Lepisosteus oculatus: one gene and its partners. The protein of the gene in region 1 purifies or fractionates together with the protein of each later gene. This does not show direct contact. Links are inferred from orthologs where the notes say so. Each region holds a gene or a part of one and is shown on either strand. Other genes may lie near its edges.

Evidence for each region.
Region 2: the proteins of dnaja2a (region 1) and llgl1 purify together in Homo sapiens (co-immunoprecipitation; 3 studies listed by BioGRID and IntAct, with this or other methods). This does not show direct contact. The link is inferred for Lepisosteus oculatus from reciprocal best matches to the Homo sapiens genes DNAJA2 and LLGL1.
Region 3: the proteins of dnaja2a (region 1) and wdr76 purify together in Homo sapiens (affinity purification with mass spectrometry; 3 studies listed by BioGRID and IntAct, with this or other methods). This does not show direct contact. The link is inferred for Lepisosteus oculatus from reciprocal best matches to the Homo sapiens genes DNAJA2 and WDR76.
Region 4: the proteins of dnaja2a (region 1) and pld2 purify together in Homo sapiens (affinity purification with mass spectrometry; 3 studies listed by BioGRID and IntAct, with this or other methods). This does not show direct contact. The link is inferred for Lepisosteus oculatus from reciprocal best matches to the Homo sapiens genes DNAJA2 and PLD2.

What each region holds. Positions count from the first base shown.
Region 1 is NC_090715.1:6,801,888-6,810,281, reverse strand, and holds the start of dnaja2a (dnaJ homolog subfamily A member 2a), read left to right. Parts: upstream 1-5,277; 5' UTR 5,278-5,356; coding exon 5,357-5,434; intron 5,435-8,394. UniProt on the Homo sapiens protein: Co-chaperone of Hsc70. Stimulates ATP hydrolysis and the folding of unfolded proteins mediated by HSPA1A/B (in vitro).
Region 2 is NC_090714.1:11,061,813-11,069,966, forward strand, and holds the start of llgl1 (lethal(2) giant larvae protein homolog 1), read right to left. Parts: upstream 3,585-8,154; 5' UTR 2,990-3,584; coding exon 2,909-2,989; intron 1-2,908. UniProt on the Homo sapiens protein: Cortical cytoskeleton protein found in a complex involved in maintaining cell polarity and epithelial integrity. Involved in the regulation of mitotic spindle orientation, proliferation, differentiation and tissue organization of neuroepithelial cells.
Region 3 is NC_090700.1:56,865,640-56,873,467, forward strand, and holds the start of wdr76 (WD repeat-containing protein 76), read left to right. Parts: upstream 1-4,377; 5' UTR 4,378-4,524; coding exon 4,525-4,608; intron 4,609-4,776; exon of another isoform or gene 4,777-4,907; intron 4,908-4,915; exon of another isoform or gene 4,916-5,384; intron 5,385-5,795; coding exon 5,796-5,942; intron 5,943-7,285; coding exon 7,286-7,378; intron 7,379-7,828. UniProt on the Homo sapiens protein: Specifically binds 5-hydroxymethylcytosine (5hmC), suggesting that it acts as a specific reader of 5hmC.
Region 4 is NC_090698.1:9,970,031-9,978,015, reverse strand, and holds the start of pld2 (phospholipase D2), read right to left. Parts: upstream 3,254-7,985; 5' UTR 2,236-3,253; intron 248-2,235; exon of another isoform or gene 1-247.

The DNA of each region.
Region 1 (8,394 bases):
AAAAATGTACTGTACATACATTTCGAAAGTTCCTTTTAAAGTGTGTCAATTTCTAGGACGTTACATCCTAATACGAAAAACAGAGAATTAAAAAATATCATCTAATGGAAAGCACTTAACTCCTTTCAGGTATACTCTATTTGAATTAAATGTTAGTATATAGCATTATTGTCTGCAGTGGGAGTTTTTACATAAAATATTAGGCATTTTATTAGCTTCCTCTATTTTGTATTTTATTTTAGACATGTCATATGCCATAATCATGCTATAGATGACCACATTTTATTATGAAAACAGCAAACCTGATATTTGTTTTTTAACAGAGGATTAGTACTGCATTTAAATGATTTCTAATATATTCTAATATATAACGTTTTAAAATACAATTCTATAAACTTATAAAAGAGGTAAAAAAGTAGTTCTAAGAGATATAAGGATTTTCAGGAACTGAGTGTCATTTAAGAGTGAGCTGTATTTCAGTACAGTCGTTGATTTGTCCATTTCATCCCCCATGCTTGATTTGCTTTCAGTGATCCTATTGAGATGTCTTTGAACATCATAACAAAGTCTTTGATATTGCATTCTATTTGAATCTAAAAAAAGCCCAATCCAAAAAGTTTAAAGTAGAGACTTACTTGATGAAACTAGAACCCATTCTGACTGTTTAAAAGCAGTCAGCTATCAGTCCTGTGAGTGAAGAGGTGCACTCACAGAAAAGGCAGAGAAGAGCAGGCTCTTAATTTTACTCCTCATTCAAAGAGTTTCATAGCACATTTGACTTTTTAAAGCTTTCTAGTCTATGCCAGGGTATACACACACACGTACAGTGGGACAATTTAGAAATGACAATTATCCTGGAGAGCATGCCTTTGGACCTTTAACTGGAGAACCCAGGAAACATTAAATTCAACATACTGGACAGCATGGGCACAACATTCAATCTCCGCACAAGAAGACAACCCAGGCCAGAATGAAACCCAGCACCCAGGGGTTGTGAAATGGCAGTGCTGACTACCATTCCACTTTAATGCCCAGAAATGCCTTAATGTAAGAAAATAAGTACATAATTTTAGAGGTCTTCATATGGCAATAAAAATGGTCCTTTAATGTTCCCAGATTGTGATTACCAATGGACTAGTCTGAAGGTCTCCACTCTGTAATAACATTTTTTGGTTCTTTTGTGACAAAAAGGAGAGAATTTTAATTCCTATTTAATTCTGTCCTTATTGAGAAAGAAAATGTGTGGAGGTGTTGAGACTAAGCCTATGGACTAAACTAAATCATCGTGGTATTAGGTATTTGTCTTGATTGCCTGCTTTAAGCACAGGTGTTTGATAAGCGCACATATAGAGCTTATCTACATTGACACAATGATGAAAAGTAAACATTCTACTCTCAGTTATCATAACAAATTTCTAACTTCTCTGTTTGTTTTAACCAACATTTTCACAGTTGTATCTATACTACATGGAGTGTTAATTAATTGTATTTAGAGTTTTCTCTACCAGCTATTAGATCCTCCAGCAGCCTAGAAAATTGTTCTATTGAAATGTCAGTGTTGCTTCAGTGGTTTGCAGATGTTGCTCTATGTAACTGCAGAGTTAGGTTCATTTTTCCAAAATGTGATTTCCTTTAATAATATATTCAACTAAACAAAATATGGCATGGCTCTACAGAATGGAGGTGACAATCATTTCTATGTCATTTCTACACATTTTGACTTCATGTAGCCTGAAAATAACAACAGGAAATCAGGGAACAACAGGGAATCAGAGAGGATCACATCCCAAAAATGATTTCGGTTTATGGTTAAGAACGTATCGAGTGCTTGTCCAGGTTATGTTGCAGGTGCCCTTTCTTTTAAACTCTTAATTCAGTGCCATCCACACTGACATGATTGACATGGCTCATCTACAACGTCTTTACCTCCATATTGCTTTAATATACAATTACCTGTCTTTTTAATAATAAACTTTCAAATATTACATTCTGTAACTTTTATCTTCTTCACCCTTCAGTCCTTTAGAACAATTTCATACAGAACTGCACATGAAAAATGTACTACTGTACTCAGTTACTGGATTCTGTATTTCCTATACCAGAAAAAAAAATGCATTGAAGAGAAAAATGTAAAAATGACTTCACAGTGAAGTTGAATGATTTGTATTTTCATTTTATTTATGTCAAGTATTGTTTCTGATGAGTTTGACAATAAATAGTACACAGAAATTACATGTAGCTTTTTTCCTATAAACATTATCTCAACAAAATCTATTGATCCTAGGCCAGGAGAGCAACAATACATCATTCCCTTATCACTTGTTTTTATTGTACATCTGGAGCTGTGCTGATAGAAAAAGTGTGCCTTCCTGTTTAACCTTCAAGAACTCACGATGCACTGCATGATTAGGCTACTAAACTGAGCAACAGAATGAACCACTCAGCCCAAAGCTTGACAGAACAGGCTCGATGTAATACTGGATAAAAGCCCTACAAAAATACTGCTGAGTGTGAATGTATTTTCTAGTTTTCAGAGGGGTTTATTAAAAAGCATACCTTTTTAAGGAGTTCTAATTTAATCTCTAACTTTAATTATGAATGAATCCTTTGAGATTACAGATTATTTAAGTGAGCTTTCAGCTGTAATGCTTGACACCTAATGAATGGAACCTGCACTTTCACTTTTTATTACAGTACATCAAACATTTTACTCTGCTCTTTAAGTAATAAGTATAAGTTGCAAGCAAAAGTGCGCTGACTATTTTTCTGGAGGAGTCCATTCCTCTAACAAACTGACTGTAGAAAATGTAATTGATGGGCATATTGGTTTCTGTGGTTTTCCCGATCAGTAGTCCAAATCCCTGTACTTTATTTTTGCTAAAAACAGTGACATGTTTCTCTTGGTGCTCAAAATATATATCACAGTCAAACCTCATGGGAAAGACAGAAGCTAATTTATTTTTTCAAAAACTGCTAATTAAAATGTAACTGATACTGTACACAATAAGGATAGGGAATGTAAATAAACTGGTACAGTACTCTCAAATTCAGTAACTGGTGCATGTAACATTAATGAATGTAACATTAAGAAGGGTATGATAGAAATTGTCTTACAAGCTAAAAAAATCTTAAAATTGACATAGCACTACTGAAAAAATATTTTATTGTTCTAGAAATCCTGTCTCTCTGTACACAAACACTCTAATATAAGTGCAACTTATTATTGAATTTTATTTTCTTGCTTAATCTAACGAGGCATGCACTGACTAGTGACTTATTCCTTAATTAGCATAAATTGTTTTAACTTATTTCTATATTAAGAGATCACATTAAGCTGCAGCAAACTGAATCATTTACTGTCACCTTTTAGTACAATTACTTTCAGCTGTGATGGGATCTGTTACTTTAAGTCAACTTTGACTACATCAAAGTTTAAAGTTTGGAGTACTTAGTTTGTCTTTTGTGTCACAAACAGCATTATGAAAGAAAGAAAAAAATTGTATCTTAATATTATGGAAAGGTAAAGAATGATTTCTTCCAAATCAACAATACATTCAGAAATAAGCCATTTCATTATACACATACACCTGTGTATGTTTATATCTGTGTATACAAAAAGCTCTTTTGTCAACATTCGTTTCAGTGAGATTCTAATATGATTTGTCCCCTAATGTAAATTGCTTTAAAAAAAAACATTGACAGAATCAGGACTTTGTCAGTCATTTAAACCATTTCTCAGTAAATCAAACAGGTTCTCATTTCGCTTGAAGTAGTGCTTCCAGAATTGCACTTCTAATGTAATTTACCAGTACTGATAATGTGTTTGCTTATACACTTTTCACATCTGCAGGGTTATATACTTTGACTATTAAATCAGTGTGTAGGCACAGCTTAGTAAACTTAATATAAAATATTGTTTTACATTATACTGAGTATTTATCCTAGATTTACTTTCAAGAGTGGATTTATGCTTTCTTTAGATGTGCAGGTGGATTTATAACTACAATATTTCACAGTTTGACAGGTGTATGTACTGTACAGTTAAACTAATTTCTCAAGTGGAAATTCAATCAAATAATGAAAATAAGGATAGCATTAGAACAAAGTTAAAGTTCCTGGAAAATGATCACAGTTTTGTACTTATCCTGCCTAAAATGTGAAAATAACTAGTAAAACCAACAATTTATTTTTAAGTCAATAGATGTTTAAATGTGAGACATTTTACCAATGGGTAAGACAAATTAAATACTGCTTGCCCACATTGTACTATCTATAATCACTGACCAGCTTGGAGAGTACTAAGAACATTTTATATTGATGATCATTTTAGTCTTTATGACTAAATGAGGCAGAGCCTGCTAATTGTTAATTTATTACAGGCAACAAAACCACTTTTCATTTGGACTAATTGGCACGATCCTTAAAATATGAACATTATAAACGTTACAGATGAGAGCAGAACACCATTTAAGTCATCTCGTTCATCAGGCTGTAGAAGTTTAATGACCTCAGAAATCCATCACAATTTTCTTCATGTTCTCAGAGACTCAACATCCACAATATGAATTTAGTTTGTTCCTTTGTGGAAAAGTGTTTCTTGCTCCAAGTCTTTGTAAAAGGTGCACATCATTTCAATTCATGCTCTTTAGTCATGATCACTATGTTGAGCAAGAGGGAAAGGATTGTGTAACATTCTCAGTCGTTTTTATATAACATTTAGACTAAATACACAGTCCTGAGTCAGTGCCAGAGTATTTTCCTGGGGCATACGTATCTACAAGCATGGAGATATATTCCACCACATTCCAATTCTAGAGCAACAACAGTAAAAGGAGCTTTTGTGTTTTATAGTCAATTATATTTCACTATTCAAAACGTTAGACCTCTTTAAAGATCAAAACTGTACGCATGGAAATAATACATAGTACCCCGTTGGGATTTACGTGCTGCGTTGCTTTGTTTACAATGAAAATAATCAATATTTTTAAACATCTATTTTATGTCAGAAAATCATAAAAATATATCACGCCAAATACAGCGACCTTTTAAAGACAAGGAATACGCTGGAAAAAAACAGCGTGTATCTTGCGCTGTTTTTATTCACACGATTAGCAAGCGCTTCCACCTCCAGTATGCCATGAACATGAATTTCTAAGGACCGAAGCAATGCCCAGCTCCCACCTCGTCCTGCACTTCTGTGCCTCTCCAGGCTCCGTCATCGATCACGTGAGACAACGGCACACAAGTGACGCAGGAGCCGGTAGGTTAAAGTTGACTCGTTGCGCGTGACGTTTCCGGCCGGCTCCTCTTTCTCTCCTCCGCTTCCCCTGCAGAAGGTCCTTCTCTGTGCTCCATCATGGCGAACGCCGTTGATACTAAACTCTACGACATCCTCGGGGTGCCCCCCAGTGCTTCTGAAAACGAGCTGAAAAAGGTACAAGGGAACGGGAGCATTAAGTGTGTTCGCTGGTGTCGGTTACCTTAGCGTCGCAAACTGCGGGGAAGTCTTTAGGAAGAAGGAAGCAGGGGGTTGATAAATGTGGCCTAGCAGCATTATCCATATCCATTGTAAGACACTACCGGGCCCAACTGAAAAAAGAAACAAACTCACTGCCGGGCTATTTTGTGATCATCTTCTTTATTTATGTGCAACACTGCTTTGTCATTCAACCCGGCGTTACCTTTCAGTGAGTTGTGGTTTCACATCGCTTTATTTGAATTCCGTGTAAGGTTGTTGCCTTTGAAGAGGAAAGGTGGTCACAATAAGTTAATCGAAACGAGGCTCGATTTTTTTTTTTTAAGGTTGGTTTTCATTTTAGGTAAAACTGTTGAACCAAAACTGCTGAGAACGACAGGTCTTCTCGGAGGAGGGGAATCATTTTTAAGTAGACGTAAACAAATGCTGGACTCTTTTTTTTACATTTATAAAACTCGTTAATGGCTGGTAAGCCGCTGTAAGTTGGTGATTAAAATCGTTTTCGTTGTTTTTATTGCGATTTTGACATGAAAATATTCGGTTGATATCGTGCGGCCGTCTGCTTATCTCTCTTTTATATACGTGTTTGGGCCACAAATATTCAGAGAGCCGCTTATTTCTATACGAAGGGCGTGAGAAATCACAAATCAAACTCCAGGAAAAAAAGCCGGTTAAAATTACGTCGTTTTAAGAGCTGTGAAACAGTCGTTTAAATTCTACCCCATTTTTCGAAGTGGTGTTCTCCTGCCCATGGAAGGCTACCTTTGTATTCTGGTTTTACTTCCTGTGAATCCCACGAAGGGGGAAGTTGTAGGAATGTGCAAATTATCCAGGTGGATCCTTATAGAATTTTTCAGAACTTTTCACGCAAGCACTTTACAGGTAATGGGGACTCCCCTCCACCATCACCAAAGTGTAGCCCCCACCTGGATGATGCAATGGCAGCCAGAGTGCGCCACTATGCTCACCACACATCAGTTATCATTAGGGAAGAGAGCAGAGTAATGAGGCCAATTCATAGATGGGGATTATCATAGGGAGGCTATGATTGGTAAAGGCTGGGGGTATTATTTGGCAAGGACACCACAGTCAACACCCCTACTCTTTTTGAGAAATGTGATTTTTAATTACCTCGGTTTTACTTCTCATCCAAAGGTCAGGACAGTTTTACAATATAGTGTACCCATCCCTAAACTGTGGCATTAGGATCCTCACACTGCAGGATGAGTGCTCCCTAGTGGCCCCGCTAACATCTCTTCCAGTAGGAACCTTCGCTTTCCTGGAAGGTCTCGCATCCAGGTACTGGCCAGCATCACACCTGCTTGGCTACAGTGGATTGTCAATTGTGAGTTGCAGGGTGATACAACTGCTGGCTATATTCTGAGCTGTCTAGATTTTACTTTAGTTTTACAAAGTTGCATTTGACATTGGTTGAAGATCGCAGTACTTTGAGTGAGGGTTTATATTGTACCTATTGGTCCTTATTTTCTTTTTAAAATATGGTAGCCTCTGTATTCATAACCTTTCCAGGGATATTTGACTACTGTAGTATTTTGCATAGTCTGTATTTTAACTCTGCTTTCTTCAGTTGGTGCCACAACTTGTCATCAGTCTCTAGCAGAACATTGTAGAGCTTTGTGCTTTATTTTAACATGACACAGGCTATTGTAAAATCCACTTGCAGCCAAGCTTAATCTTCTAGGCACCAATTTGTGTTTGGAATACCTTGGGAATCACTCTACCAGCTCTACCTAGGACACTACTATGCTACAAGAGGATGCAAAACTGCATTGACACTGAATGTAATTCTGTTCTTGATGATGAAGGGGATGCCATTCCTTATCAACATGAAATTATTTTTGTATTAATCATGTCACTGTATTATGATTATCTGAGATCTGTTTCCATGGAATCGCATTGTTTAGCACCGTTTGATTTGGGAGGTTGCCATTTGGCAAGTGTTTATGATGCCATGGAATTCTGCCACAGACTCCAGATTAAGGGGGTCAAGCTTTAAAGGAGTTTTGTCCTGGTCATCGTTGAGGGTTTTTTGAATGATACACAATTGTTACCTTTGGCTGTGAATTAACAAACAAGGTCACCAAACCAATTTTCTGAACACACTTTCAGGTATAACTATCTTCTTCCTGACCAACCATAAATTCTTGATGGAGACAAGTTAAAAGTGTGGTCTCTTCTAGATATTTTTATAAAGTTAAGGTAAATCACTTAAGTTGGATCTTAAGAAAATTATTAATTTCTCCATGATGTGGTATTTAGTGGTTCTGTGCTCATTGTGTTCTTTAACAGCTGGTGGCAATTAGCATAACTTCCAGAAGCATCTATAAACCTCGAGGCTTAAGGTAGCTATTAGATGACTGAAACATTATCGATATATCAGTACATTTGATTCTGGGTTTTTAAGAAACGAATTCAGTAATTCAAGTTTAAATTCTTAATGTACTTTCTTTTGTTAATTCATATGTGAATACTTAATCTTATTTCTAGCTATGAAATCAGATCAGTTGGTCCCTAGTGAGTACATTGAGCTAAAGTCGTGTCAGTTGAATTAGTTTTTGAATTTTACTTAAGACAATGTATATTGTGTATTTCTGGTTTCCGGTATTCAGTGACAGTAGTCTTACCAACTTTGATTTCCCTGATCTCTTGGTTGCTCAGTAGGTTGGAAAGTCTTAAATGTCTAATTGAGCAAGTAATTAGATTAAGTTGGTATTTCTTCAGATGTAGAAAAATGCTGAAAACGCCTAAAACCCTTGGGAAATGGATTTTGTTATTCATGTTGTAGATAAGGGGTCTGTACCAGTCAAGAATACCTTTTGTGCTTTAAAGGCCTTAAGCAATATATGCAGTATGATCTAACCAAGCATACTGACAATGTTTTATTTTTGGAACATCTG
Region 2 (8,154 bases), on another chromosome or scaffold:
ACCGGGCTCCAATAATGGGGCGCCTCTCACAGACCCAGCCAGTGAGCCCTGTTTCGCGGCACCAGCAGAATAAGCACCTCCCTGATGGATTAAACCCCTGTGCAGTCTGACGATGGATTACCCTATGTGACATTTTTAAATGCTACAATTAAATATTGATGGAGGACTTCATTAACATCAGCAGAGCAGAACTCATCAGTAAAACCACTGTGCCCTTTGGACTGGTTGTATTTCATGTGGCTCTGTGCTTTCTCTCTGCTGCTGGAGAAGAGACGGATCGATGCTGTTCAAGGGATCTTTTATTCCACGCAGAAAGGGATGTTACCCTATTCCTAGGGTCACCTGTGGCACAACAGGGCCCTGATTTACCTTCGGATTCAGAAATCGGGCAGCTCCTCTATCTCGAGATTCCACCCCTTCTCCAGTCTTCCTAGATGCATCTCCAAATTTCAAATGCATCAGACTTGGATTGAAAATGAATGCCAAACCCATTGCCTAACCAATGTTATTGCCAGTCAGAAGGAGAAAAGGGATGTTCTTGAACATGCATTCATAGAGGAAAAGCTGTGCCTTTTCCCAGAGAAGCACAAACATGACAACAAACAGCTGACATCACCTCACAGGACCCTTAGTCATCCATCAGAAGGAGACAGCAATGTGTCACAGCTCACATTGTGCAATGAAGTACTAAGGGCTCATGGACACATTTCTCCTCCCTCAGTCAAGCCCCCCAACCTCCCAGTGGAGGGGTATCTATAGAAAGTTGGAAGACAAACTCTCCCCCCATCAACAGCAGAAAGAGGATCCCACAGAAATGCAGTCCGCAAAAGTTCCACTTGCCAAGATCTGTGGTTTTGCTCAACAAGAAACTATACTTCCTGCTCCTGTAACACTCCATTCATCACTCTCTCTCTTTAAAAAAATCACGTGAGGTACTTGTGTGAACCGAATACAATGTTTACATAGCGCAGTGGGTAATGCGAAGCTGCCTGCAATAACTTTTTAAAATATTGAAGCAATTTTTTTAACAGGGTTTTAACTTAAACATGGCCCTTTGTCTTAAAGAATCCTAAAGGTTTTTAACACAAAACAACTTCAATATTGTCATAAATACGGCAAGGGCACACGATATATGACAAACAGAACATCAAAAGAATTGATAAGCACTCCAACTGCATTGTAGCACAGGCAAACCAACAACAGTAGCACAAAACGCACGTTTTGTTGGTTGCATTTACTCCCTGTGGAAAGACGAAGGTTTTCAAACACATTACCAACCATTTGTCACATCAAAGCACAGGTTTAGAATTGTTACCGGTGGGAGTACACGCTATTTGTTTAAGGAAAAATGCAATAGTGCATTGAACTCCCACTCCCACATAAAAGCACACGGAAACTGCCTTCCCCCAGAAATAAACAGTTCTCTTAAACGTTCAACATGATGAGCACGTCCCATATTGTTTTTTTAAAGACCGTCTCTTTCCCCCCTTACGAATTACAATCTTAAACCAATATACCACCATGTTGCCCTGGTCACAACTAGTTTAATTTAATAAAATTATCTCGATCAAACGCTATAAGGGATGAAAACACTAGCGCTGGGAATCAGTTGATTTATAAGAAAAAGAAGTGCCTGCAACACTCTCAAAAAGAGGAACAATACCCCCCCTTTAGGCATTTCATACATTTGACAGAAACTTGTACGATTATCCCAAATACACCTCCTCACAGAACAAACTGCGCGAGCTGGTAGAGACGTGTTTTGTGGGCAATGCACCCCTAAACTGGTTGCTTACTGGGGTTTGAGATACACAAAATACGCAGAAACTCGTAAATTGTTTGCATTTTTTTCTCGATTTAAATTTACCACATAGTGCCCCATCAGAGCCATCACACTATAAAATGACTCATACTAATGGTATATTCCCTGCACTTTAGGTGCGTGTCATTAAACGATGTTTTAACTCCTCCGTAAAGGACAGTGTATGCGGTTATTGTCCGTTTTCCCACTGTAAATCCATTCAGGCGAGAACAACAGTTAATTTGGACATGAATGTGAATGGAACAGTTATGAATGTGCTGGAGCACGCGTTTTAAAACACCGAGCTACTTCGCTACATGATGCAAATAAACAAGGCGAAATAAACTACACCTACTCATATATACGGTATATATTAGCCAGCTGGTAGGTTGGACGAGAGACCAAAATTTGTTATAGAAGCATTTCGAAGGAATTAAAATGTAGTTAAAAATGCTAGAGAAACGCAAAGTACAAACCGAGAGCGAATCAGGATAGACCGATTTTTCTCAATAGACCGATAAAGTGCCTTATTAGAGTAACGGGTTTTGACGACTGGTCTTAATATCAATGGTAATAAACATGAAGGGGTGAACTGAAGGAAGAAACACAGATTTGTAAAAATATATGAGGAAATGCAACTTCTCTCCGCGTCCATCGGCGTGTCTAACTCCTAAGAAACTGCAGCACTTCAATTATTGTTAAACCATGTTCTGCAGCACGAGGAAACTAATCGATTTAGAAGCACACATTAAACCCCCAGCACTGGTCAAACTCCAGAGATGACACATTTTCCATGACTTTCACAAACTAGGAAGGCGACAGACAACAACACACGAATCCCCTAGCCGTACGCAGATGCAGAGATTTGTTCTCAGATTAGCGGGACCGTTAGACTGCAATTTTTCCCAGCTATGCCCTACCTTTACACGGGTGCTTAAAAATAAGATAAATGCAGATTGTATGAACGTCTCCTCACATTTGAAGCGTGCATTAAAACTAAAAATGCCCCCCCCTTTTAACTCTCAATACAGTTCACTGATACAATACGAGTCGGCATGCTTGCCACCAGAAAGAAACGGACGTCTTTCCCAAATGTTTCAACGTTACCTTATTAAAAGCAAAAAGGTCCTGTTTGATTTTCTCTCTTTGGGGATCATTCCCCTGTCTCCTGAACCTAAACTTCATCATCCTGAAGCCGGTGGGAAAATTAGTGAGAGCCAAGGGGAGAAAAAAAACCAAATTGTAAATTCCTTCTCAGGTTTGTATCAGTGCAAAACAATGAGATCCCATAGACAAGCTCCCGTTTCTTTGTAGTCTGTTCTCAAAGGCTGCAACTGGATACCGGGGAACTGGATACATTTCCGTCCAGATTGGCAACTGCTACAGCCAATTGGATCGGGGAGTTTATCTACCGGGATCCAATCAGAGAGGAGATGCTAGTGGGCAGGTCCGTAGTGGTTGATTACAGGAGACTGAACCGTGTGAGGATATTGTTCCAGCATCTGGGATTTGTAGTTTCGTCCCCGCTGCTCTCCTCAGTTTGCTTTTACAGTTGCGTTGCTTCACCAATGTGGGTCACGGGTGCCCAGCTCAGTGCGTACAAGAGAATTGCCACAGCTTTGCTTTTGTAACGAAGCAATAACGATAGCAGGACGACGAGCGTTGCGCTGATGCGGAATGGGTTCCTTCAGTGCTTCGGTCGCGCAGAGGTGTGTGTGGCGACACTGCTCCGACTGTAGAGAAACACGCTATTGCACTCACCGCAGCATCACGGAATAGTGTGATGCGCCACGTTTCTGCAGTGATCGTGAGTCCGCAGAGGGAAAACCCCTCTGCGATGGGGAGGGGGTTCCCTCCACGGTGTGTGTGTGTGTGCGCGGCTGAGGGATGGGCGAGGAAGAAGTTGAAGCCCCCTTAGACACATAACAGGCTGCGGCGCTCACGCATTCCAACCGCACCTCTGCAAAAGGAGAGGGGTTACCGAGGAAGGCGGTTTTACAGCTGTGCTGTGAGGGAACTGCGGTATTTTGGCATTTACCCCTCGTTTTACAATTAAAATAGCGTTATTAATTTTCTTCTTAAAGGTAGCGCGCTTCTAACACGTGTAACATTTTCTGGGGTTTTCCTTGCTGCGCGCATCGGTGCTTTTTACAACACAGCTGAACCATTGCAATGCGCCACACACACCGAGCAAACTGTTCTTTTTAAAGCTGAAAACATCCAGCTCAAGGCTGTGTTTAATTGGGGGGAAAAAGGGCCCTGTAGCACACGACAGAACACAGTTCTTATAAGTATTAATTACAATTGAACACGGAAGATGAAGACCAGATCTCAGTTGCTGAAAATGCTGAGGTCTGTAGGCGGCGTTCCCCCGAGCAGGTGAGAGCAGCCTGCTGTGCGATTCAGCAGCGACTGGAGAGAGGCGGGGGGGTGTCACACAAGTTAATATTGTGGACACATACAAACCACTGCAGCTCTGCTCCAGACAGGAAGGAGAGCCAGTCAGCACCTTCCTCGGCCTCGTCAATCTCACGCTGCAGGATGAGTCTTTTGGCAGCGAGAAGCGGTTGTTTTCCTGTAATGAGTAACGCTGAGCTGTCAGAAAACACCCCCAGCGCAGTCAGCGCGTAGTACAGGAAGCTGAGCTTAGACGAGCGTGTTTAGGTTTCATTGATATTCTATTGATGTTCAATTTACTATGAACTGAAGGTTTGTGGGATTTTAATAAAGCACCTATACACAGCAGTAATGACACCGACCCAAACCTGCTGTACTGTGTGTGCATGACGGCTTTGCCAAATACCTTTTTATTGTAAATTGAATATAAGCAGGGCATGAATCTTAAACCCCTTTTCTACAAGTTAATCTTGTGCATCTGGGATACTTCACGCGGATTTGTCTTCTGTGAAAACCAATCAACTACGAACGCATTTTCACGTCAAAATGCACGCCTGGTCTGCTGCAATTTCAAAACGCGTCAACCGTCAGAGAGGCAAGAGACTGCGGCGGCATTCTTTATTGATCACGTTAGGCTCGGCTGCGGTTTTTCTTTTTTGCTTTCCGAAAACGTCATCACGTTCAGACGTCTTGGCAATGAGAATGTGTGTGTGTTTTTTTTTTCATTCCCAAGGCGGGAGGAGAAGATGTGTTAAAGCTGATTTCATTGAATTTACAGCACAGCCCACACCGTAACGTTTTATGTCCAATAGGGGGGTATCTGCAATATATTTTACAAATGAGCGTGAATTTGAAAAATCGCAGAGATACATGCTGAGTAAGTCCCATCATTCACAGCATCCCTCTCCAGTAAAGCCCCGTTTTCATCTGTTTCTGCTCTTCAGGTTGGCAGGTCTGGAGGGGCGGGGTGGAGAGGGACAGTCTGTTTACGCAGAGCGCTGCTCACATGAACTTGACACTAGGCAGGCTTGGATCACAGCCAAGGCCGGGAAGCCAGAGGAACTATTCCAGACCCGAGCTATTCGGGGAGTACGCATTCCTATCAATCAGCTGCACGAAGGCTAATCAGCAGCGTTTCACCCCCATCGAAGGTGAAATGCCCGAGAGCTGGAAGAGAAAAAAACTGAAACGAGAAGAAGTGGCAGTTCTTCACGGCTGCGGCTGAACCGTGCGCCTGGCGTCCGCTGGCCGGGGGCGCAGACTCTCTGATTGCTCGACTTCTGATCGGCGTTTCCCGGGGTCTGGCGATGCTCTTTCTCGCTCACACTCCACGGCTTGACCTGAAGCGGAGACATTAACCAGAACCCGAGAGTACAACAGCCTCTGCAGTCACCCTCCCTCCCAATGTATCTCAAATGCAGTACGTTTTTGTCTGGTCTCATTCCAACACCTCACGACTCTCACGGAAATTCGTGCTGGACTGTGAAGCACACTTCTTCAGCGTGGGGAAAAAATAAATGTGTTTCTTTCAGACCCATGAAATCCCCTCCCTTTTTGCAACTGCAGAATTCGCTTACGACTGGGCTGTTAATACGGGTCCCATTCACCACACCCAGTCCATATAAAAATGTTTCATAAAATGTGAAGCAGAAGAAAGGCTTGTTGGGAGTAAATGCTTAACACGCCTTTCCCGCCCAGTTTCTAAATCTGAGTTTTTTCTCAAGGGTTAATCATTGATAATGGTAAACTACTCAGAACACAACTCCGCCGTCCTGGGAGTTAAGACTTCGTTCCTTAACATTGTTTTAACGTCTGACGCCCCCTTGTGGCAAAAATAATAAATATTTTAAAAAGAAGGCCGATTGCTGTTGGCGCCCTGAGGTTAAAAGTTCCGAGCTCGAGACTTCTGCCCTTAGAAAGTCTTTAATGTAAATAACCACACGATTTAATGTGAAATCGCTTCGAAACAAGATCTTGTATTTTCTTTCAAGATTAACATGGAAATAAAAAAATTCAAAGTTCATTCTCAAAACAGTCGACGGGATAATTTGCTGTATAAATGATCAAGCCTTTATCCTTAAGTCATTAGAAAACCATTTTATTCCCGGTGTTCACTGTGTTCAAGGGGGTATTACAGCATGGGCAGGACGGCATTGAAGTCAGAAACGACGTCAACTGAATTGAGCTAATTCAGTTATGCCCCAGTATAGTGACGGGGACACTATACTGTAAAGAAAAGGCGCCGTCGTTCGGATGAGACGTAAAAACCGAGGTCCTGACTCTCCGTGGTCATTAAAAATCCCAGGGTGTTTCTCGAAAAGAGTAAAGGTGTTAACCCTGGCGCCCTGGCCAAATTTCCCATTGGCCTTTTCCAATCATGGCCTCCTAATAATCCCCATCTATGAACTGGCCTCATCACTCTGTTCTCCTCCCCACTGATAGCCGATGTGTGGGGAGCGTTCTGGCGCACTATGGCTGCCGTCGCATCATCCAGGTGGGGGCTACACACTGGTGGTGTGGAGGGGAGTCCCCATTACCTGTAAAGCGCTTTGAGTGGAGTGTCCAGAAAAACGCTATATAAGTGTAAGGGATTATTTTGTACTGTGTATGTCCCGAGAGATCAGCGCGATTAATTCTAATATATGTGTACATACGACAATAAACTACTCTCTACTGATGTTTCACTGGTGATTCTGAAGACGTTTAAGCAGGCGCCTTGGAGGATTATGAATACTTGGATCACAGCTTTTAAGGGAGGGCTTTTTGAACACATGGGGAAGGCCCTCTTCCTAGTGTGGTTGACCAAAGCTGTTTCTCATCACCTGCACCTACCCTCTGTTCCCTATACTTTCCGATTGTGTCCTCTGGATAACTGTGGATTCCGAGGACATCTGTAGATTTGACAAATACCTTTGAAGATTTTGAACACTTGCATCAGGCCCCCTTGTCGTCTTCTCAAGTCTTTCATCCAAGAGCTGTCCAACACTTGTGCTGGAGGACTGGTGGGTCTACAGGTCTTTTAGGTTCCTTTGAAACAGTAGCATCTGAACAGTGGGAAAGGTGGGTGAAATGGCCTATTAAAGTCAATCACAAGCCAAGGAAGGTCAATTAGATTTCAGCTGGGATGAAAAATGTGCCAACACCTTGGCCCTGCACGAATAGGACTGGTCAGCCGTGTCTCAGCCCGCCAGAGTGACATATTCCTTTGAGCCCGGGAACGGACCGGGTTGCTCTTTCCTGATTGATTCCTGAGCAGTCACGTCACTTTTCTGTGCTTGGACTCAAAATTGAACCCAATACAAACAGTGCCTTGACATCTTGAATCAAAAATTGTCAGCGCCTGAGTTGAACATCTTATCCGAGCCAGTATGTCCTTGGAAGGTGAAGGGATACGCTGAGTGCTTGGACTCCCCCCAACAAAAAGAATAAAAACATGCAAACTCCACATAGAAAATGCCTCCATTCAGAGAAGTCCAGGACTCGAGAGCTGTGAAGACGCAGTGCTGCTAGAATCAGGTGAGTGGCGTCTCTTTAGCTGCTGATACTTGGACAGGTTAATTTGAGACATTTCAAAAATATTTTTCACTTGCATGTACATAGAATATCACTCATTTCACTTCACAATTGCCCTGCTTTTAAATTTATTAATGAGAAGCACTTATCCTACCTTTGATGAGATTATGACCAGATCAATATTATAAGATATGCTGATTTAACAAAACCAAACCAAAATCAAAAGCGTCTTTCTGCTTTAATTCAAACAAAACTTATTACACTTATGAATACAACCCTTATATAAAACTCACTTTGCTTATTGAACTATTTGTAAAGAAAAAGACCAATATTTCCCTGGATTGCTAATCATGTGTGCCTGTTATATTATATCAAAATGCTCTTCAGCAAAAATACATTTTGTTGTAAGATCGCATACTCCACACAGGGAGACAGCTGTACAT
Region 3 (7,828 bases), on another chromosome or scaffold:
GTTTGAAACTTCTACAGTTTGTCTGTTTTTTCACTCTACATTAAATGTAATTTATTCCAGAATCACTTTTCATTTCACAGGCAATACCTGTGGACACAATCTATAAGATGCATGTGTACATTTTGAGTACTACCACGTGAATACAAATGCAATAGTCTAATGTTGGGGGAAGCTGGATAACCTGTGTTCTAGAAGTCAAATGGTGTTCATGACTGTTCATAAGAGGTGGTCTACAGTATTAAATCAACAGTAAACAAGTTCTTAATGACCCTGGATCACTATAGTTTATGTTCTCAAAACAAGTGGAAGGGATTGCATAGAAACTTATTTGCTTGTTACCAAATGTCCTTTAACAGTTTTAGGAATTTATCTACTGGTCATGATCCTGAAGAATTTATCAGAAAGCTAAAGCTGTTATCTCAATAAGTAGTCAATAGACTTTACATAATCGAAAGCTATGAATAACTAGTACTTTTTTCATAGCATGGGAACTTAACCCAAGGTATTTTCTTTTGCTTTCCCTTCTGATTCTTTCTCTTGTGAGAATGTACACAGCGATGTGAGGACTCAAGAGACAGCTGCATAATGCCACCTAGTGGTAATATGTAAATCGTGACCATGTTATACACAATGTTACTACAAGGAGATACAAGGTTTGAAATCACTAATGAGGCACGTACAGTAAATGACTGCTATGTCACTGTATGAATGCTTAAGATACAACACAAGGTCTGGGAAAGGAACATTAGTAATCCATTATTTATTTTTATAAAACAGTAGTGAAGCAAATTTAACATGAACTTAGTTTCAATGTTTATATTGCAATTCAATACAGAAAATATGAAGTGGCTTCCCCAGTGTTCAAGTCGATTATTTAAAAGAGCTCCATCCATTTCCCTCTCTTTCCTGCAGCTGTGTGAGAAGGATGTTTGACTACACTGACTACATCAGCTGCAGCAGGGCATTATTAGGTTCTCCTTTGATACACACTCCAGAACTCTGACGTTTTTAAGTAAGTTAAGTATGTTTTTTAGGTATTTCACTCGCTCGAAGGTCTTCAGAGACAGTTTGCAGGAATGCTCTGCTGAGGCCCCAGCTGGGATCAGGGTCAGTATTTCCACACTACTTAGACAGTTTTGAAGCTCTGTGCTGGATTTTGGGTGCCAAGGGAACATGAGTACGAGTGATTATTTGCTCCTATCTGAATCTTTTTTTTTTCTGAGACTTTTGGCTGCCTTTGTTTGGTATTGCAGCACTCAGGAATTTGAAAACTGAGTAAGATCAAAAGGTGCAGTATAATGATAACCTGTTCTATTGAAGACCATGCATTTGCAATAACTGGCGGAGCGGTGGCCCTGTGGCTCAGGATCTGCACCTGTGACCGGAAGGTTGCCGGTTCGTATCCCGCGGCCGGCAGAGGAATCCTACTCCGTTGGGCCCCTGAGCAAGGCCCTTTACCCCAGCTGCTCCAGGGGCGCTGTACAATGGCTGACCCTGCGCTCTGACCCCCAGCTTCTCTCCCTGTCTCTGTGTCTGTGTCTCCATGGAGAAAAAGCTGGGGTATGTAAAAAGACACATTCCTAATGCAAGAAATTGTATAGGGCTAATAAAGAAACATTATTAGTTTTGATTGCTTTAGAATCATATCTTTTGGTTTGAGGAACTTTCGCAAAAATTTTGATTCATCATCATCATCATCATCATCATGATCGGCAAGCTTCATTGCGGAGGAGCCGCCCCCATCAGCCACCTTTGCCAAGCCGTGTCCAGGCCTATATCCAGAGGTTTCAGGTTGTCCTCAGCCGTGTGAAGCCAGGTCCGGCCGGGTCTGCCCCTTGGTCTCTTCCAGCCGGCTGGGGTTTCTGAAGCGCCCGCAGCTGTCGCGCGATGATGAAGATCCTGACACGGGGCAGCTCCTGCCATGTGGCCGAAGAAGCAGAGGAATATCGGAGATCGATCAACTGGGAGATTGGTTGGCAACCGGTGGTGCGTCGAACTTCTGCATGCGTTGCGTGTCTGGCATAGGGGATCTGCAGGATCTTCCCCAGGCACCACATGTCGCATGCGTCCAGCCGAGCACATAAAAATTGTGGTCGACCCTAATGCACATCTCCTGCTATGCCCCCAAGCTCTGGAACTCTTTACCCAAGGATATTAGAGAGTCACCTTCTCTAAACTCCTTCAAATCCAGACTCAAAACTTTCTTCTTCAGTAAAGCCTTTACTTAACTGGTTCCATTCTTCACCCCTCTGCTCTTCTTAATACCATCTTCCACGGTCTCCTCTATTGTTATTGTTGTATTGTTGTAATTATAATTGTGTCCTGTCTTGTGAAATTTTCTTATTTATTGTTGTAGTCTTCTTATTTATTGTTATTGTCATCCTGTAAAGCGCTTTGAGAAGCCACCTTTAAAGGCGCTATATAAAATAAAGTTTATTATTATTATTATAATGCGGGATCTCCAGTCATGTCTTTCGAGCTGCTTCATGCAGCTGGGCGCAATTGCCAGTTGTCGTAGTACTTCCATGCTGGAACTCCCTGATTCCTGAATGGTGCTACACAGGTAGACGAACGACTCAGGTTCTGGAACTGCTCAATTGAAACCCAGCTACGGATGAGGCTAGCATTCACACACTACATAGAACATTTTTACGATCAGGGCTGGATTGTGCGACCTAAGCCAGCGCTAGGAAGGCTGATAATTTGCTCCTATCTCCAACCTTTTTTTTTTCTTTTTTTCAAGACTTTTGGCCGCTTGGATGTTGCAGTGCACGGTTCAGGGATTGTATTCCAAAACTGGAGTCAGATCAAAGGTTGTAAGAAAGCCAGTTCTAATGGGTTAACACTTTCAAATGTTCCAAAAAGTTGGAGGTAAGAGCAAATGATCACTGACTTGGGCCCCAGAATCCAGAGCTAAAGGTAAAAATTGTCTAAGTAGCGTGTGAATGCTAACACTGACCCTAGCTGGGGTTTCAAATGAGCAATTCTGCAATCTGTCTCTGAAGCCCTCCAGTCACAAAATATTCCTCAAAGAAAAAAATAGGAGTCTAAAATAATCAAAACTAGGGAAAAAAAGCTCTTGGAAAATCAATAATTCTTCAATATACTGTATATTCTTCAATAAAAAATCATCTGTAGGAAAATTTTCAGCCAGCTGACAAACACTGTTATACTAGCATCATATAAATACAATTTAAACAGCCAATCTCAACGGATTGAAAATATACTGCAGGTTTCCAAACACGTAGCCTTGGAAAGCACGTTGCAGATTTCCTATATTTTTTTAACATTTCACACTAGATCTGAGGTGAGGTCTGGTGTTGTAACCCCGGCGTCCTGGCCAAATTTCCCATTGGCCCTTATCAATCATGGCCTCCTAATAATCCCCCTCTATGATTTGGCTATATTACTCTCTGCTCTCCTCCCCACTGATAGCTGATGTGTGGGGAGCGTTCTGGCGCACTATGGCTGGATTGTGGAGAAGCCAGGGCTTAACCAACAAGGCCGGACAGGCTCGTTCCAGACCCTTGACAGCTCTGAGGGTGAAGGAGTCGGTTCTTTTAAGTGCTCTTCCATGTACAGTGTTTTGCCCTTATTCCCCCTGGTTCGTGTTCTAACTGTTCGTTCTGAAGATGCCTGCTTGGTTCTCTTTGACAAATACTTTTGAGGATTTTCAGTACAGACAGTGCCCCCCCGGGATCATCTCTGATCTCTGATGTATATTCTTCAATAAAAAATCATCTGTAGGAAAATTTTCAGCCAGCTGACAAACACTGTTATACTAGCATCATATAAATACAATTTAAACAGCCAATCTCAACGGATTGAAAATATACTGCAGGTTTCCAAACACGTAGCCTTGGAAAGCACGTTGCAGATTTCCTATATTTTTTTAACATTTCACACTAGATCTGAGGTGAGGTCTGGTGTTGTAACCCCGGCGTCCTGGCCAAATTTCCCATTGGCCCTTATCAATCATGGCCTCCTAATAATCCCCCTCTATGATTTGGCTACATTACTCTCTGCTCTCCTCCCCACTGATAGCTGGTGTGTGGTGAGCATTCTGGCGCACTATGGCTGCTGTCGCATCATCCAGGTGGGGCTGCACATTGGTGGTGGTGGAGGGGATCCCCATTACCTGTAAAGCGCTTTGAGTGGATTGTCCAGAAAAGCGCTATATAAGTGTAAGCATTTATTATTATTATTATTATTATTATTATTATTATTATTATTATTATTATTATTATTATTATTATTATTTAGGGATTCAATGACACCCGCCCGCACGCCAGCTCCCTCGTTGAACTGCAGTTCCCCTACCAGCCTGTTCGCGGCAGGGCTGCGCCGGCGGTGACGTCACGCGTGACGCGGCTGTTGATGCCGGGCCAGCGCGCGAGGGAACTGTTTCATAACTCCGCGGGAAGAGTTGAAACTTACACAACGGAGCTGCAGGCGCGGAGGGACGGGAAAGGTTGCTTGTACATCGCATAAAAGCACATTACTCCTTGACAGGAATATCGGAGAATGCCAACAGCGGTGAGGTCTGTAGCTGAGCAAAGCAAATTTAACTCCGGTTGTATTCCTTATGTGAAATTACAACGAATGAAGGTGAGTTCTCTCATTACAGGAGTTTACACCGGGTTTTTAGCTTTGTTCTTGAGAAATTGTCGCCGATACTGAACCTTGGTGGTTGTTTCTTGTGCGTGGGAGCTCCGACGAGTGGCGGAACAAGTGTTTCTCTGCGTCAGGTTGATCTTCTCGATGATTACGTTGCAGACTTCACACAATGTAGACCACGCCACGGCCGCAGTAGAGCAGATGTAGGTTAATACGACACTGCAAGGATTTGGCTGCGGGTCTTGTTCTGTCTGCTTGAGACGCGTCTGAGTCAAGAAGGCTGCTGGTCTGTACGTGAAACCCCGACGCAAGGAAAGACGCTGCTGAGGAGGAAATGTAGTTACTGTCTTGCCAGGACCGTCTTCTTTCGGTGTACAGAACTGTTGTATCTGTATTTTGAGAGAGTTGTCAACTCGCTGTAAGAAGTCTTGGTGCCATGATTAGATGGGGGGGGGGGGGTTGTTATTTTTGCATCTCGGCAATCGTGGTACACGTCAGTGAGCCCTGCCAAACTCATTGCATATTTGAACTGGTTTTATTTAGTGGTACGTTTAATGTTTGTAATATAGAAATAAGCCGTCCGCTCGAGTGCATTGCGCGGAGTTCCGCTGTTCTTCGGGACCGGCGGCGTGACGTCATGCAGGATCTGGGTTCCCGGCGCGGTGCTCGGAGCTCTCCGATAGCGTCGTCTTTCTTATAGACCTGTCCTGACTTCCACACCCTCTACTGTACCTCGGAAAAAAGCCGTTTCGGGAGCTTACTGTGCGGTATATCAAATTTGAGCAGCATTATGCCATTTTATTTTTAATTTAAGTAATGTTTACCTCGGGAGATGATGTGAATAAAAGCCTCTGCACCGTGACTGTTCAGGAAAGAATCAACCTGGATTCATTCCGCTTTTGCGTTTAAAACGTGCTTGGTTGTGAGGATTCCTGCCACTTTATTATTATTATTATTATTATTATTAGTGGGGAAACTGGGATTGAAATCCCTTATGGTGGTTTTTATTGAGGAATGTGCTCCCGAGTATAGCAGGAGCCGAAAACTTCAGGCTGACGGATCAAATCTGAAATCGGCACGCTGTTTTTAGACCTCCACAAGCGCAAAACTGCAACACACCCTCCCAGCCTGTTAACCAAGTGGAGTAACGTTTTTTTTGGCCTGCAAACATCTTACAGGAGCAGACTCTGCTTCCGAGCCCCCCGGGCGCGGCTGCGGGGAGGAGCGGGGCCGCCGTGCCGAGAGAGGTCCTGCCCAGCAAGCGCCCGATGCGCAAGTCGCCCGGGAAAGCGCACCCGGCCCCGGGGCAGGGCGTCAAGAGAAAGGTAGACCCGTTCGCCCCTGATGGCCAGTCTGTAGCTGATCTAATTCAGCTGTTTCTTGATCGAGCCCCCTCGGGAGTTAGTAGTTAACTGATGCGAGGAGAAGCCAGGGCTTAACCAACAAGGCCGGACGGGCTCGTTCCAGACTCTTGACAGCTCTGAGGGTGAAGGAGTCGGTTCTTTTAAGTGCTCTTCCATGTACAGTGTTTTGCCCTTATTCCCCCTGGTTTGTGTTCTAACTGTTCGTTCTGAAGATGCCTGCTTGGTTCTCTTTGACAAATATCTTTGAGGATTTTCAGTACAGACAGTGCCCCCCACCCTGGGGTCATCTCTGATAAAGAAATAAAAAGGTCCAGTTCCTTCAGTCTGTCAGTGTAGGACGTTCGCTGAAACTCTCAGATGTGTCTGGCTGCTCTTCTCTAGACTGATTCCAGAGCTGCAACATCTTTTCTATTACATGGTGACCAAAATCCGACAGGATATTCTACGTGAGGCTGTGCTAGTGTGACCGTCGCGGTTCCGCGCGGGCTCGTGCCCTCCGCCACCCCGTTTCGTCCCGCAGCACCTGGGGCGCGAACCCGGGTCTCCGGCGTCACGCAACAGGGAACCAGCCCCATGAGCTAAAGGAGACCTCCCTCAGCCCAGGCAGCTGAGGTCCCTGCTGCGCCCAGGGAGGGCGCTGACGTCACCACACTAGCTCCGCTACACTAGTGTACTAGCAAGTTTTAGCATGAAATCCTTTAAAGGTATAAGATCCCAGGGAATCGGCACCCACAGTCCTCAGTTATAGAAACCTCAAAAAAAGTCTGGGGCCTAGTCAGGTCAGTCACGGTGGGGTTTGGTTAGAATCCAAAATCAGGACTCGTAGAAGTTGATTGAGGGTGTTCAACAGAGCCCACTTTTCTCGATCTGCAGTGATTAAAGGGAGATTGTACAGTGACGGAGTCCAGCATCACACAAAACAAATCAAAAGCAGACGCAGCTGATTACGTACGCCTTCTGTGCGTCGCAAAACTGTGCCTTTTACAAAAGGCCATTCTTCTGACGGATGTTTTTGTTATTTGTTATGATATCTCGGGAACCCTCTAATTCTGTCTCTCCCGTGCTTGTTGGCGTGCTCAGCTTCTGCGAATTCATGCTTAGGTGCACGGCCCAAGCCTTTCTTTTTAAAACTGATTATGTTTTGGTGTTGGATATTAAAGAAAAACTGAGCAAATATTCTATAGAAAATGTCCTTTTGCAATAAAACATAATCATAAATAGACAAAAAAATAATTTCATGCTTGATCACAGCATTTGAAGAGATGATAGCCGACATGTTTACTGTGCACTTTGTCGTCTGTCAGGAGAGACATTCGTCGTCGGATGAGCCTGCCGCGTCACGGAGCAGGTCCAGGTCGGACAGCGAGTGCAGCAGTGACAGCGAGTGGGAAGGCCCGGTGAGGTTTCTGCACAGTCTAGGGCAGAGGTCTCGAACCCTGATTCTGCAGAGCCTGGATCCAGAAGGTCTTATAGGTCACCGCTAAATCACCAATTTCTAAAGCCCTGGAATAATTACACTGTGGCCAATTAGGAATGGCAATTGTTAAGCTAGGTTATTCAAAACCAGTTTTAATTGAACAGGTCACTTGGTTAATCAATCCGTATCACTGTGGTGTTGTTAATACTGAGAATAAGTGGATTGCAGCTCTCCAGATCCAGAATCAGAGACCTTGATGCAGACTTGAGCCCTTGGATTAAATTTTGCATAATGGATCTGAAAATTTTCATTCAAACAAATGCATGCTATATACACACTGGTGCAGGACAAGCTCTTCAAAGACTGTTAGGACACTTTCTGAAAGTAATCCGAAATGCTGCTCTTGAATTCTATGGTTTTTCCTGCCAGA
Region 4 (7,985 bases), on another chromosome or scaffold:
CCGCCTCAGTGAAACACTGTCATTAGTTTAAACAAGCAGGTCTACAGCACAGCGTAACTCCCCCCGCCTGCGTTACCGTAGGACGTCGACAATTGCGCGCCTCCAAACATTCCACACGTGGCCTCGCATTACCGTAAATACCCGAAACAACGGGACGCGTCGCGCCCCTCCAGCGTCTCTACAAGGGAGCTGAGGCCCGTTCGATAGGTAGTGAATTAATCTGAGGATCTCCACCAGCTGTTCCTTGAAAGAAAACAGATGTTGAGGATCTTACCAATATGGCTAGGGGGGCAGCTTGTTCCACACTCCCACCACTCTCTGTGTAAAAGAAGAGCGCCCACAGGGTGGGGGAAGATGCACAGTGGATGTTATAATTTGGGCAGGTAGGAGGGGGTGACATGGGAAGGTAGGTTCCTTCATTCCTTCTGGCCTTCTGGGATCCCCACAGTGACACTGGGAGCCAGGAACTCCTCTGGATCAACAGCGAGTCAGTGGTCACAGATTGTCTCCACCATCCCTCTGATTGAGCAGGCGGCAGGGTGGCTCAGTGCTGCGGCCCTGGGTTCAGATTCCAGACCTGAGGGTCTGTCTGTGTGGAGTCTGCATGTTCTCTCCCTGTTTGTGTGGGTTTCCTCTGGGAGCTCTGGTTTTCCACAGACCTGCTGGGAGGCCGACTGGGCTGCTGGGAAAATTGGCCCTGGTGTGAGTGTGTCTGCCCTGCGATGGACTGGTGTCCTGTCCAGGGTGTACCCCGCCCTGCGCCCACTGCTTGCTGGGACGGGCTCCAGCTGGAGGAAGCAGTTAGAAAACCGGTGGATGGGCGACTCTGATTGGATGAGATGGTGCTCATGGCCAGGAAATGAAACAAACTCTGAGACTCCTCTCCCAGCACTGCCCTCTAGCTGCTGAACAGGGGTTCGAGGACTGAGCCTGCTGTCTGTGAGGTTTCCAGGCTGTAGCCCCCTTTTTCCTTCTTTGCAGCACCTTACTGAGGGCTCCCAGGGCCTCTGCTTCACCCACACCGCTGGGCAGCTTGTTCCACGCACCCACCACTCTCAGATCAGCTGTGAAGTGCAGCCCCACCAGAGACTCAGGTCCTCTGTGCTTGAAGTGGGACAGTATATATTGCACACATGCAGCACTGCAGTGTCAGTGCTTAAAAGGCACCTTTGAGCAGGTGTGAGACTGGCCACTGGGATCTGTTAACTAGCCTTTACCAAAAGGTATGGGAAGACAGGACACAGCTGACTCACTTTCACTGTGACAACTGACTTCCTCCTACAAGGCGTTAAGAAAGAATTGATCACAAAGCAAAGGACAGGACAAGCATCACAAACACACCATAAAACAATACAAACTCTCAAAGGACAGGACAGGCACGCAGTGTGACACAGTAACTCTTGTCTCTCAGTGTGACACAGTACCTCTTGTCTCTGTATGTCACCTCTTGCAATGTGTGCATCAGCTGCTGTGCTAACTGAGCTCAATACCACTGAAACCACACAGGACTGACTCTCACTCTTGTGATGATGAATTTCAGTGTTATATGTGCCTTTCGAGATCACACACAGTTTCCAGTCATCATGGGTCTTAACTCATTCGGGGAAACTGGCTCATATGCACACACACCCGCCCATGTGCCCTCTCTCATCTTCACCCGCTGTCCCGAACTCTCACACCCTGGAGCGTCCCAAACTCTCAACTTTACCCACTGTCCCAAACTCTCACACCCTGGAGCGTCCCAAACTCTCAACTTTACCCACTGTCCCAAACTCACACACCCTGGAGTGTCCCAAACTCTCAATGTCACCCAGTGTCCCAAACTCTCAACTTTACCCACTGTCCCAAACTCTCACACCCTGGAGCATCCCAAACTCTCATCTTCACCAGCTGTCCCAAACTCTCACACCCTGGAGCGTCCCAAACTCACACACCCTGGAGCATCCCAAACTCTCTTCACCCGCTGTCCCAAACTCTCACACCCTGGAGTGTCCCAAACTCTCAACGTCACCCACTGTCCCAAACTCTCATCTTCACCCGCTGTCCCAAACTCTCATCTTCACCCGCAGTCCCAGACCGCACTGGGGGCGCCTGTCTGGCAGGAGACACTGTCTTTGTTGGATATGTTCTGCCATTCAGCCCCACACTGGCAGGAGTCCCGGTCTGTCCGTGCAATAGTCACGATACTCGATAACTCGGCGGCGGTAAAACGGACAGGATATGAACTGAGCTCACCTTCAAACAGCCAGTCCAGCGCAAGGTCCGAGCGAGCCGGGGGGAGGGACTCCGGGCTGGAGACGTCCCTGCAGTCACCCGAGCCCTGTGCGTTCAGTCCTGACTGTGCCTGTCCACCCCCGTGACCAGACCACGAACAAACATCGGTAAACTGCAGCGAGGACGGCAAAAGTCAATTAAAAAGAAAACAGTTAGGTTTATGAGGAATTAGACGTGTCAGTTTTGAGTTACTGCCAAAAGAATAAAAAAAAACACGCAGGTCGCCGTGTGAGGCGGTAAGACGATCCGTGGACACGCCGTGGACGCTTAGCAACTTCGGGCGGCAGGGACACTCCTGAAAATAACCCTCAATCGCAGGGATCGGGGCTGCAGCGACCGAGAGTGAAAAAAATTAAGGAAGTCACAGCCGCTCGGGGACAGAGGGCCGTGCGTGTCCGCGGACTATCGCGAACTCTCCAGCGGGTCCCCTGTTTGCAATCAGCGGTCCACGTCCTCCGCGCGTCCCGATGCGCACCAGCACAGGCGAGGGCGGCAGGCTTGGCAGAGCCGCTATTCCTGGCTCCGGCCGGTGCCCACCCTCTCCCAGCCCCCTTTCCGTCCTTTCTTCGTTAGTTTTCCAGCGGCGGAATTTACTTTATCCCGGGATACAGGCTTTCCGAGAGCAGGTCGGCCCCATCTCCCCGCTGCGGGCGCAGACGCCCTCCTTCTATCTCTCGGTCTCAGCGCCACGGGCAGGTCCCTGTCGTTTTGCTGCCCACGTAGGCTATACTTCGCTCACAGCTCCGCCCGAGAAGTGTCTTGAATTCGGTGTTTTTTTTTATTCTTGTTCTTGGTTTTTTTTTTTTGCGCGAGTCTCTGCTGGTTCTGTGCCCGGCGCCGCGCGCGTGCCCACGGGGAGATCGGCGGCTCGCGCCTCTCGAGACCCCAGCGCGCACGGGGCACCCTCTCGTGACCTCTGGGGTCAGACGGTTTGACACTGTATAATTCAAAGGCGTTGCTTTATGGACACGGTTGTATACAGTCACGCAACAGATTGCAATAGGCTTCGATACACCCTGCTACTACCACTAGGCGATATGGGTAGAATTACAGCGGACCGAGACTAATCAATTTATTTTGGTTTTAAAATAGATTTAGACATTCAGTTAGGTCACTTACATAATGCACTCAATTCAGGTTTTTAACAAAATGAACAGTTAGCAAGAATATCCCTTCAGATAGCACACAGATCACAGGGCGAGGTCAGGAGTCCGGCTCCGAGCTGCTGCAGACCAGTTTGTGTATGTGTGTCTATCTGCACATCATTCACAGGGCTGTTCCACTGACACACCTGTGGGCAGGACACACACAGGACAGCCCAACAGACCTGATGGACCTCACCTCTTTACAGGCACACACACACAGGCTCGCTCATACACATGACAGACATACAGACTGACACACATTCACATGACAGGGATACAGGCCTACACACACAGACTCTCACAAACACTCACATGACAGGAATACAGACCTACACACACAGACTCACAAACACAGGCTTCCACTTACACATGACAGGGATACAGACACACACACTCACATGACAGGAATACAGACTGACACACAGTAAGAGACAGAGAGGGAAAGGAAGTAACAGAGGGAGATCCAGAGTTACAGGATGTCACTGGGAGACACTGGGAGAGGGAATCAGAGAAAGGAAGGGAGAGAGGGGACTTGTTCTGTCTCACAATAATAATAATACAGCGTGTGATCTCCTGTCCCAGCCTGAGGAGCAGATAGTGAGCCCTATCTCACTATCTGCTCCTCAGCACCTCTCAATAATAACAATACAGTGTGTGATCTCCTGTCACAGCCTGAGGAACAGACAGTGAGCCTGTCTCTCCATAATAATAATACAGTGTGTGATCTCCTGTCACAGCCTGAGGAACAGACAGTGAGCCCACCTCTCAATAATAATAATAATAATAATAATAATAATAATAATAATAATAATACAGTGTGTGATCTCCTGTCAAAGCCTGAGAAACAGACAGTGAGCCCACCTCTCAATAATAATAATACAGTGTGTGATCTCTTGTCCCAGCCTGAGGAACAGACAGTGAGCCTGTCTCTCCATAATAATAATACAGTGTGTGATCTCCTGTCAAAGCCTGAGAAACAGACAGTGAGCCCACCTCTCAATAAAAACAATACAGTGTGTGATCTCCTGTCACAGCCTGAGGAACAGACAGTGGGCCTGTCTCTCAATAATAATACAGTGTGTGATCTCATGTCCCAGCCTGAGGGACAGACAGTATCACTGTATCAATAATAATACAGCGTGTGATCTCCTGTCCCAGCCTGAGGAACAGACAGTGAACCTGTCTCTCAATAATAATACAGTGTGTGATCTCCTGTCACAGCCTGAGGAACAGACAGTGAGTCTGTCTCTCCATAATAATAATACAGTGTGTGATCTCCTGTCCCAGCCTGAGGAACAGACAGTGAGCCTGTCTCTCCATAATAATAATACAGTGTGTGATCTCCTGTCACAGCCTGAGGAACAGACAGTGAGCCCACCTCTCAATAAAAACAATACAGTGTGTGATCTCCTGTCACAGCCTGAGGAACAGACAGTGAGTATCACTGTATCAATAATATTACAGTGTGTGATCTCCTGTCACAGCCTGAGGAACAGACAGTGAGTCTTTCTCTCAATAATAATAATACAGTGTGTGATCTCCTGTCCCAGCCCGAGGAACAGACAGTGAGCCTCTCTCTCAGTAATAATAAAACAGTGTGTGATCTCCTGTCCCAGCCTGAGGAACAGTGAGCCTGTCTCCCAATAATAATAATAAAACAGTGTGTGATCTCCTGTCACAGCCTGAGGAAAAGACAGTGAGCCTGTCTCTCCATAATAATAATACATTGTGTGATCTTCTGTCACAGCCTGAGGAACAGACAGTGAGCATCACTGTATCAATAATAATACAGCATGTGATCTCCTGTCCCAGCCTGAGGAAAAGACAGTGAGCCTGTCTCTCCATAATAATAATACATTGTGTGATCTCCTGTCCCAGCCTGAGGAACAGACAGTGAGTATCACTGTATCAATAATAATACTGTGTGTGATCTCATGTTCCAGCCTGAGGGACAGACAGTGAGCCTGTCTCTCAATAATAATAATAATACAGTGTGTGATCTCCTGCCCCAGCCTGAGGAACAGACAGTGGGCCTGTCTCTCAACATTAATAATACAGTGTGTGATCTCCTGTCCCAGCCTGAGGAACAGGGAGTGAGTATCACTGTATCAGTAATAATACAGTGTGTGATCTCCTGTCCCAGCCTGAGGAACAGACAGTGGGCCTGTCTCTCAACATTAATAATACAGTGTGTGATCTCCTGTCACAGCCTGAGGAACAGACAGTGGACCTGTCTCTCAACATTAATAATGAAGTGTGTGATCTCCTGTCCCAGCCTGAGGAACAGACAGTGGGCCTGTCTCTCAACATTAATAATACAGTGTGTGATCTCCTGTCCCAGCCTGAGTATCACTGTATCAGTAATAATACAGTGGGCTCCGCTTGTCCTGGCAGCTGTCTGGGGTCAAGGCAAGCTGCTGGAGCGCTGCTGCTCCCAGTATCCAGAATTCGCACGGCTCTTTTTAGAACAGGGAATTGGTTTGACTGCTCATTAACGTTTGGCAGCGAAGTGTCCAGCAAAGCCTAATGAAGAGTAAAATACAGAAACAAGCGGCGCGATCTGGCTGCAGCTGTTGCTATGGCTACCACCGACAGAAGGGAAATGTCGCACAGGAATCACACGCTGCCCCCTAGTGGAACAAGCCTGAAACTGCTTAGAGCCTGACTGTACCCTGTAAAGGCCCAGCTAGACAGTCTGATATAGAGACTGTACAGAGAGACACTGGATAGCAGCTCAAGAGAGCGTTAAAGACAAAGCAACCGGGATGCAGACATAGTTTTAAATGCTGTGTCGGAATGACGCTTTCTGCTGTTTCTGAAGCTCCCCCCCCCGTGCTACACCAGCAGTTCTGGTGTTTGGCCAGTAGGTGGCACAGGTGTCCGCTATTCGGGGGGGCGTCCGGAGTGCTTACAGCCCAGACTGTGACCCTTCACTGGGACTTCCGCGCTTCCATGGAAACGCCGGAACACTACAGGGGCAGGTCCAGTCACTACCCTGGTATCACCGGCTGAGGAAGAGGAGGAAGGAGGAAGGAGAAGGGGGGATGGGGGGAGGAGGTCAGTCCATACACGCTGGGTCTCTCGGTTGTGAGACACAGACCATACCGCTGACTATGGCTCGTTATCCATAGTCAAAGCAGATATGTTTACAGAGAATCATAAACGAGAACGGGACTTATAGGCCCTGAGAGTATTTACCATGGTACATTTCAGTGTTAGTCATAGAATACTTCCCTGGGCTATCCAATCTTACATTTGACCATAGCTTTCATTTACAAGTGTTTCGAGTTTCTACTGTTCTTCTTTGCTTCCATCCTTATTTCACTGGTCTTTACTGCGCTCTAATCCTCATTCAGTGCTGGCGACTGCTCTTTACTGTTCTTTCACCCTGATTTCGGAAGTCCTTACTGCACTGTACTGTACTGTGCATTGCTGTAGTAAAACGCGTTTCCCCACGGTACAAGCGAGCCCCGCTGGGGCAGGAGAGCTGTAGCTAAACTCCTCAAGAGAAAGCGAGAAAGCCACAGGCAGGCAGGAAGAGCTCCAGCGGGACATAACAGAGCATCACGCCCGCCAGCCACACGCCGACCCCCGCAGGACGATCGACCTGCACCGCCAGGCTCTGGGCTGGGCCGGGCTGTCCTGAGAAGCAGTTCTGCGCCTCGCTCTAATCAGAGCACAGGCTCACCTGCCACGGCTGTGTCCCCGGGACGCAGCTCCCACGGGGCCGACTCCGTGAGAGAGCGCTGCCGCGGGGTCATTAAAGGCCCGGGCCCCGTCGAGACAATCTGAGCTCTCCCCGCGAAGCGCCAGGAACTCGGCCGGGGAGGCACGTTTCCATGCCCCCCCCGCTTCGATCGGTCCCGGCGGGTTTCCACGCCGGCCAGCTCTGCTCACACGACAGCACGGCGAGAGCTGCTCTCTCCCGTGTGCGGTGACGGTCACCTTCTCTACCAGAGATGGAGACACTGCGTAACCGCTCTGTCCCAAAAACACGGGTTAGAAGGCAAGTAAGACAGATTCGTGGTGCCATTTTATTCAGACTAACAGTTAGGGATGAACTTTGCATCGTCGGCACTATAAGTTTTTGAGTCTGAAAACCGGTCGGACAGCTGGTTTCGGCGCATCTTGAATTCTGGGCTACTCTACTTCTCTGAGGCGGGTGTGGGGGAGGGTGGGTTCGGTGAGTCCTGAATTCCAGTAAACTGTAGATCTCTGGGCCGGAGAGAGTTACAGGGGTCAGCCTGGGTAACAAAAAACCTTTAAGATTTACCAGCCAAAACCGCACCCTAGTGACGGTTAATTTTGAAGCCAGCTCGTAAACTCGGACCCACCCCCCTTCTCCTCGCTGAGAGTGCTCTGGACCGCTTCCCTGCGGAAAGAACCGCGCATGTGCACTTCTACAGCCCGGTTTTCTGCGGTGTGAGCGGCTGTCAGGTGTGCGTCCGGCAGACACTTTTAACCAGCGATGGAGGAGACAGGCTCCATCTCTCGCACAAGTTAAGGTATCTCTTAGCAAAGAACCCCAGAGGGCCCCCCTTCACCACCGTAGCCTGGACAGCTTGT